Linked DNA regions of Xenopus tropicalis. Each later gene encodes a partner of the first gene's protein in a complex. Links are inferred from orthologs where the notes say so. Each region holds a gene or a part of one and is shown in the gene's direction. Other genes may lie near its edges.

The links.
Region 2: med12 (region 1) and med21 share a complex: the UniProt entries of both Homo sapiens proteins name them as parts of the mediator complex. The link is inferred for Xenopus tropicalis from reciprocal best matches to the Homo sapiens genes MED12 and MED21.

Annotation. Positions count from the first base shown.
Region 1 is NC_030684.2:44,402,737-44,406,393, forward strand, and holds part of med12 (mediator of RNA polymerase II transcription subunit 12), read left to right. Parts: intron 1-1,119; coding exon 1,120-1,224; intron 1,225-1,325; coding exon 1,326-1,517; intron 1,518-3,431; coding exon 3,432-3,591; intron 3,592-3,657. UniProt on the Homo sapiens protein: Component of the Mediator complex, a coactivator involved in the regulated transcription of nearly all RNA polymerase II-dependent genes.
Region 2 is NC_030679.2:3,066,257-3,070,013, forward strand, and holds the start of med21 (mediator of RNA polymerase II transcription subunit 21), read left to right. Parts: upstream 1-1,122; 5' UTR 1,123-1,148; coding exon 1,149-1,190; intron 1,191-2,742; coding exon 2,743-2,857; intron 2,858-3,757. UniProt on the Homo sapiens protein: Component of the Mediator complex, a coactivator involved in the regulated transcription of nearly all RNA polymerase II-dependent genes.

The DNA of each region.
Region 1 (3,657 bases):
TGAGTAGGTCAGAAAAGAAAGAATGTTGAAGTTAAGGCTTTGGGAGGTTGACCACAGAAGAGCCAAGGCAGGGGTAGGTTGGCTGCTGAAGAGCTGAGTCATATGTTGACCAGAAAAGGCTGGAGAAAGCTAGCCAAATGTTTAGGGTCAGTTTCTGAAGGTTTTTGAGGGAAAATCAAAGGGCTAGGGGTACGTTGGATAGGAAGTGAGAAGAAGCTGGCAAGAGAAGAATGAAGGCCTTTGAGAGGTTTTCCAGTAAAGAGTGAAGGACAGTGAAAGTTTGTACAAGGAAAAATGGAGACCAGATACTGGCTCATGAAGAGTGGTGGCCAGTGAGATCTGTGCCAGGGAAGAGTGTGGGTTGCCAAGAGGATGGCCTGGAATAAGTAGAAACCAGAGATTAGTTTTCTGGGAAAAAGACTGCATAGTAATGTTAGGTGGGTCAGAGGGGAAGTGGAAGTTGGCTATGCATAAACAAAGGCTGGGTGGAATTGGAGGACATTGATGAATGGAGGCATCCTTAGAAATGGATGCTTGAGGCAGGTTGTCAAGCAAAGTGGATGTTAGCAAGGGAAAAGTGGAGACGGGAGAGAGGTTAGTCATGGAGGATTGGTGGAGGTTTGCCTCTAAAGGGCCTAATCTGGAGTTTGGTAAGGTAGCTGAGGCGAAGGGACAGAGTGAAGAATGAGAGGAATGGATAAAGGATACTGGATATGGAAGAACAGTCTTGAGGAAGGTTGGCCAGCATAGTAGCAATGGTAATATATTATGCTTGGTTAGGGTTAGCTGTACAAATGCTAGCTGATGACGAGGTGGTGGCTGTGGAGGAGTTAGATGGAAGACATCTGTGCATAAAGCTGACCTTAGGGGTAACTGCACACTATACAGAATATTACATTTGAACAGCAAAAATCAAAATATATTGTGCCTTTGTAGGGCAGTAGAAGGTAAAATGCTATACTTCTAGATTTATTTGACCTGGCAACAGAAAATTATTATTATTATTAAAAACAAAAAAAAGGCTGGCCCATGGTGGAGATGTCTCAGTGTTGCTTGAAAATTGATTACAACCTATTATGATACTGACATTTGGAATGTACTGTTCCTGTACTCTTCCAGGATGAACTTACAGCTTTGAATGTGAAACAAGGATTTAACAATCAGCCAGCTGTGTCGGCAGATGAACATGGCAGTGCTAAAAATGTCAACTTTAACCCTGCCAAGGTAATTTCTCCTATCCAAAACCAAATATCCTCCATATTTAGCCAATGCCAGTTACCTTGTTTGTTTCTGGGTTCTAAATAAATTCTACTTTGCATTTATAGATCAGCTCTAACTTCAGCAGTATCATGTCAGAGAAGCTGCGTTGCAACACTTTGCCAGACACTGGCCGCAGGAAACCACAGGTCAATCAAAAGGACAATTTCATGCTGGTCACTGTTCGCACTCAGAGTTCAATCAACACCTGGTTCTCGGACTTGGCTGGTACCAAGCCCCTCACACACCTCGCAAAAAAAGTGAGTCACATGTTTAATCGCTTTGTGCATATGTATGTAATATGACATGTACAAGACAAGAGCTTTGGTTTCCTTTACAGAAGAGAACCTTGGAAACATCATGTAATTTTTGTAGTGACCACTGCAGAGTACCTACTAAGATAATATATGTTTAAAATATATGCTTGTAGACTTTTTTTGTAACTGTGCAAAAAAACGTTTTAGAAAGCAGAGCTGAGGGTGTCTGGGTTGAGGTTAGCAAGGGGTTCTGAAAGGATTTGGGCGAAGGAGTTCTGATCGTAACGGATCCCGACAGTAGGATGCAGCAAGATACATAAAGCCACATATGCTGTGGAAGTGAGACTGAAACTAAACAGCAGCTGGCAGTGGCGCCTCTAGTGTTTTAGAAGATTCAAGATAGACATCTTTCTTGTGCAAGAACAGGCGATCCAAGTCCTTTTTAATGGCAATCACTGACTGTCCCGGTTGCCTTTAAAATAATTCTAATTAAAAATGATTTATTCTTGATCCATTATAATATGTAATTGTTAGGCTGAGATTGTCTGCTGCTAAAAACAGAGTTATTTGGAAGAGACCTGTAACCCCAAAGCTTCCTAAATGTTTGCTGAAACCTGACAGAGAAAACTTTAAAGTTATTATCATCGCAGCACTATTCATGGTGCTGCAAAGGGCTTTTTCACCATACCCTTTAAACTGTTATAACCATGATGTTGCCCTGTTGGCTGTCAGACAAACACCAGACCTCCAGCTGGAGAGCACCAGGATCTACATAAATTGCAAAATAATAGAATGCCTTCGAGCATCCAATATATGGTGGACAATTACCCTCTCCTACCATTTAGTGTAAGGGTTGCACTATAAGTTTGAGGGCAGGGGTCATGCTCATATCATTTCTGAACATGCTCAATGTACTACATTCTTAATCTGCAAACGCATTCCTACAATTTATTACTAAGAATAGATCACTATGTCAGATTTAGGCTTTAGGCCTGCACTAGAGCAAATCAAACACCTAATATAGTTATTTGTCCCTTCTTCGGTCTCACCGGACTGAAATCTCTTATATCTTCCTCAGTTGTTTCTCAATGATTGGGGTTTTTAATTCTGTTGAACGCTATAGAAGCCAAGAAGTTAACTGCCCGTCAACTGCAACATAGAATAGTTGGCAATGGTGATGGGCCATAGAGGCATATGGAGTCAGAAAGTCGTTTCGTTTCAGCCCTTCTGTCTTACCATTGGTGCAACCTTTGTGCATCTTGAAAAACTTCCAAAACTTCCCTTGCAGCCATTTTCCCTTGATTTTCTAGTCTTAAAGGAACAGTAACACTAAAAAATAAAAATGTTTTAAAATAATTAAAATATAATGTACTGTTGCCCTGCACTGGTAAAAGTTGTGTGTTTGCTTCAGAAAGACTACTGTAGTTAATAGAAATAGCTGTTGTGTAGCCATGGGGCAGCCATTTAAATTGAAAAAAGGAGAAAAGGCACAGGTTACATAAGAAGATTACAGATAACTGTGTAGAATACAATGGGAATCTAGGCTACTTATCTGTTATCTGCTTAGTAACCTGTGCCTTTTCTCCTTTTTTCAATTTAAATGGCTGCTCCCATGGCTACACAGCAGGGTATTTATATAAACTTTAGCAGTGTTTATGAAGCAAACACATAACTTTTATCAGTGCAGGGCAATAGTACATAATATATTAATTATTTTTATACACTTTCATTTTTTGGTGTTACTGTTCCTTTAAGTAAGAATATCTCTGCTGTGGTATCTTCCAAATTTTGTGAACACATTAGGAAAAAGCATAACAGGCTTTGTCTTTGTGCATAAATCTAATCATAAAAACACTTAGTAAATATGGTACAGCCTACATTTCAAACATAACCTCTTTTCTTTTTCGTGACATGCAGGTACCCATATTTGGAAAGAAGGAAGAAGTCTTCGGCTTTCTAGCTCGTTTCTCAGTGCCTGTGATGAGGGCTGCCTGGCTCATTAAGATGACCTGTGCATATTATGCAGCCATTACAGAAACCAAAGTGAAAAAGAGGCATGTCATGGATCCCATCATAGGTAAAATGCATCTCATTTGGGTAATAAAGGGACATGTAGAATGAGTGATCAGTGCATATCAACAAT
Region 2 (3,757 bases), on another chromosome or scaffold:
TAAATACAAATATACAGAGAGGGAATGTTCTGGGCACACAATAAGCTGTACCCCCATACTGTACTGTCTAAGGGAAACACTATGGCACCCCCTACCCATATGTATAAATACAAATATACAGAGAAGGAATGTTCTGGGCACACAATAAGCTGTACCCCCATACTGTACTGTCTAAGGGAAACACTATGGCACCCCCTACCCATATGTATAAATACAAATATACAGAGAAGGAATGTTCTGGGCACACAATAAGCTGTACCCCCATACTGTACTGTCTAAGGGAAACACTATGGCACCTCCTACCCATATGTATAAATACAAATATACAGAGAAGGAATGTTCTGGGCACACAATAAGCTGTACCCCCATACTGTACTGTCTAAGGGAAACACTATGGCACCTCCTACCCATATGTATAAATACAAATATACAGAGAAGGAATGTTCTGGGCACACAATAACAAAAAAGAAAGTCTAAGCAGGCACTGCCCACACAGGCTTTTCAATACAGATAATAAGGGAAAGTCATATTCAATTTGGGTCCCAATTTCTTAGGGCCCTTATGTGCTAACCAGGGGCCCCAGGGCCACTGTATCTCTATGGAATTATCTTTATTTACTCGCTCTCTGAGACCCCCCAGTAACAGGATCAGGGTTAGAGAGCAATCCCAGCAATCCCACAGGCACCAATAACACTGTCTCTTTAAATTCTTCTTGATTCTATTTATCCTGAAACAACATAGACAGACTGGCGACTCTGTAGCAGCAACTCCACAGCAAAAGTGTAGCCCATGGAGGATTATGGCCCCCCCCCCCCCTTCCATCATAAATGGAATATAAAACCTGAATACAATTGTCCAATAGGCAGCATCGCCCTCTAGCGACCAAAAGAGGTATCACACTGAACGCTATTTAGCAAGTTGGCAGGGAACGTCCAGTGTAGGTAGAAGTACACATGCGCAGTCTCCTTTCCGCCGTTACAACCCCGCCTCTACTGAGGCTGGCCAATAGAAATAGGCGTTTCTCGTTCCTCCTATTGAGAAAACGCCGCAGTGACCCTTAGCCAATAGAAACCTTTATTGTACCAGTTAGCCAATAGGAAGCGGCGCTGAAGGTATGGGCGGCTGGTTCGGCTTTGCCAGCTGGAAAGATGGCGGACCGGCTGACGCAGCTCCAGGACGCGCTGAATTCGGTGAGCGCTTTATCTGTGTGTGGGGTTTGTGGGGTTTGTGGGGAAGGGAAATACATCCTCTCGCTGCCCGCAGTTGGGTCCCATCTCGGCTTTATAGTCACATTGTAACTAATGGTTTATTCCATTCATTGCTCGCAGCCCCCACACTGTGTCCAATGGATCTTATTACCCAGAACCCCATGTCTATGAGGGTTCCCTCAGCTGATGCGGATTATATCGCCGCCCCATCCCATATATATCCCCGTATATCCCATATATATCCCTGTATATCCCATATATATCCCCGTATATCCCATATATCCCCCTGTATATCCCATATATATCCCCGTATATCCCTATATATATCCCCCTGTATATCCCATATATATCCCTGTATATCCCATATATATCCCCGTACATCCTATATATCCCCCTGTATATCCCATATATATCCCCGTACATCCTATATATCCCCCTGTATATCCCATATATATCCCCGTATATCCCATATATCCCCCTGTATATCCCATATATATCCCCGTACATCCTATATATCCCCGTATATCCCATATATAGCCCCGTATATCCCACATCCCCCTGTATATCCCATATATATCCCCGTATATCCCACATCCCCCTGTATATCCTATATATCCCCCTGTATATCCCTATATATATCCCCGTATATCCCTATATATATCCCCGTATATCCCATATATCCCCGTATATCCCATATATCCCCGTATATCCCATATATCCCCGTATATCCCATATATCCCCGTATATCCCATATATATCCCCGTATATCCCTATATATATCCCCGTATATCCCATATATATCCCCGTATATCCCATATATCCCCGTATATCCCATATATCCCCGTATATCCCATATATATCCCCGTATATCCCATATATATCCCCGTATATCCCATATATCCCCGTATATCCCATATATCCCCGTATATCCCATATATATCCCCGTATATCCCATATATATCCCCGTATATCCCATATATATATCCCCGTATATCCCATATATATATCCCCGTATATCCCATATATATCCCCGTATATCCCATATATATCCCCGTATATCCCATATATATCCCCGTATATCCCATATATCCCCGTATATCCCATATATATCCCCGTATATCCCATATATCCCCGTATATCCCATATATCCCCGTATATCCCATATATATCCCCGTATATCCCTATATATATCCCCGTATATCCCATATATATCCCCGTATATCCCATATATATCCCCGTATATCCCTATATATAGCCCCGTATATCCCTATATATAGCCCCGTATATCCCTATATATAGCCCCGTATATCCCTATATATAGCCCCATATATCCCATATATAGCCCCGTAAATCCCTATATATATATCCCGGTACAGATAAGTACTTGCTATTGGCAGCAGTGCCCAGCTCCACCCCCAGGTTCTGACTCCTGACACAATGTAGCAGGTCAGTTTAATACCAGCCTATTAACTCCCTCAGTGCCAGGGGGGCATTGGATGAATGGAGTTGTAACCCCTCCCCTTTGTCTCTCCAGCTGGCCGATCAGTTCTGCAATGCCATCGGGGTCCTCCAGCAGTGCGCTCCCCCCGCCTCCTTCAGCAACATCCAGACGGGCATCAACAAGGACCAACCGCCCAACCCCACTGAAGGTGAGAGACTGCGAGTGGCCCCCAAACTGCCCCGTTACCCACCCAAATGCCATTGTAACCACGCCCACTGCGCACTGACACACCCCCAGCACTGACTACCAGACCAGCACACAAAGGGTGTGAAACTGTCTGTCACTGCTCTGTGTGTATCAGCCAATGCGTTTATAGACACGGGGTAGGAGTACCGGGAAATACACTCCCCCGTGCACAGGAAGCAGAGACAGTCACACGGGTACCAGGAAATACACTCCCCCGTGCAAAGGAAGCAGAGACAGTCACACAGGTACCGGGAAATACACTCCCCCGTGCAAAGGAAGCAGAGACAGTCACATGGGTACCGGGAAATACACTCCCCCGTGCACAGGAAGCAGAGACAGTCACATGGGTACCGGGAAACACATTCCCCCGTGCACAGGAAGCAGAGACAGTCACACGGGTACCAGGAAATACACTCCCCCGTGCACAGGAAGCAGAGACAGTCACATGGGTACCAGGAAATACACTCCCCCGTGCACAGGAAGCAGAGACAGTCACACGGGTACCAGGAAATACACTCCCCCGTGCACAGGAAGCAGAGACAGTCACATGGGTACCGGGAAACACATTCCCCCGTGCACAGGAAGCAGAGACAGTCACATGGGTACCAGGAAATACACTCCCCCGTGCACAGGAAGCAGAGACAGTCACATGGGTACCGGGAAACACATTCCCCCGTGCACAGGAAGCAGAGACAGTCACACGGGTACCAGGAAATACACTCCCCCGTGCACAGGAAGCAGAGACAGTCACATGGGTACCAGGAAATACACTCCCCCGTGCACAGGAAGCAGAGACAGTCACATGGGTACCAGGAAATACACTCCCCCGTGCACAGGAAGCAGAGACAGTCACATGGGTACC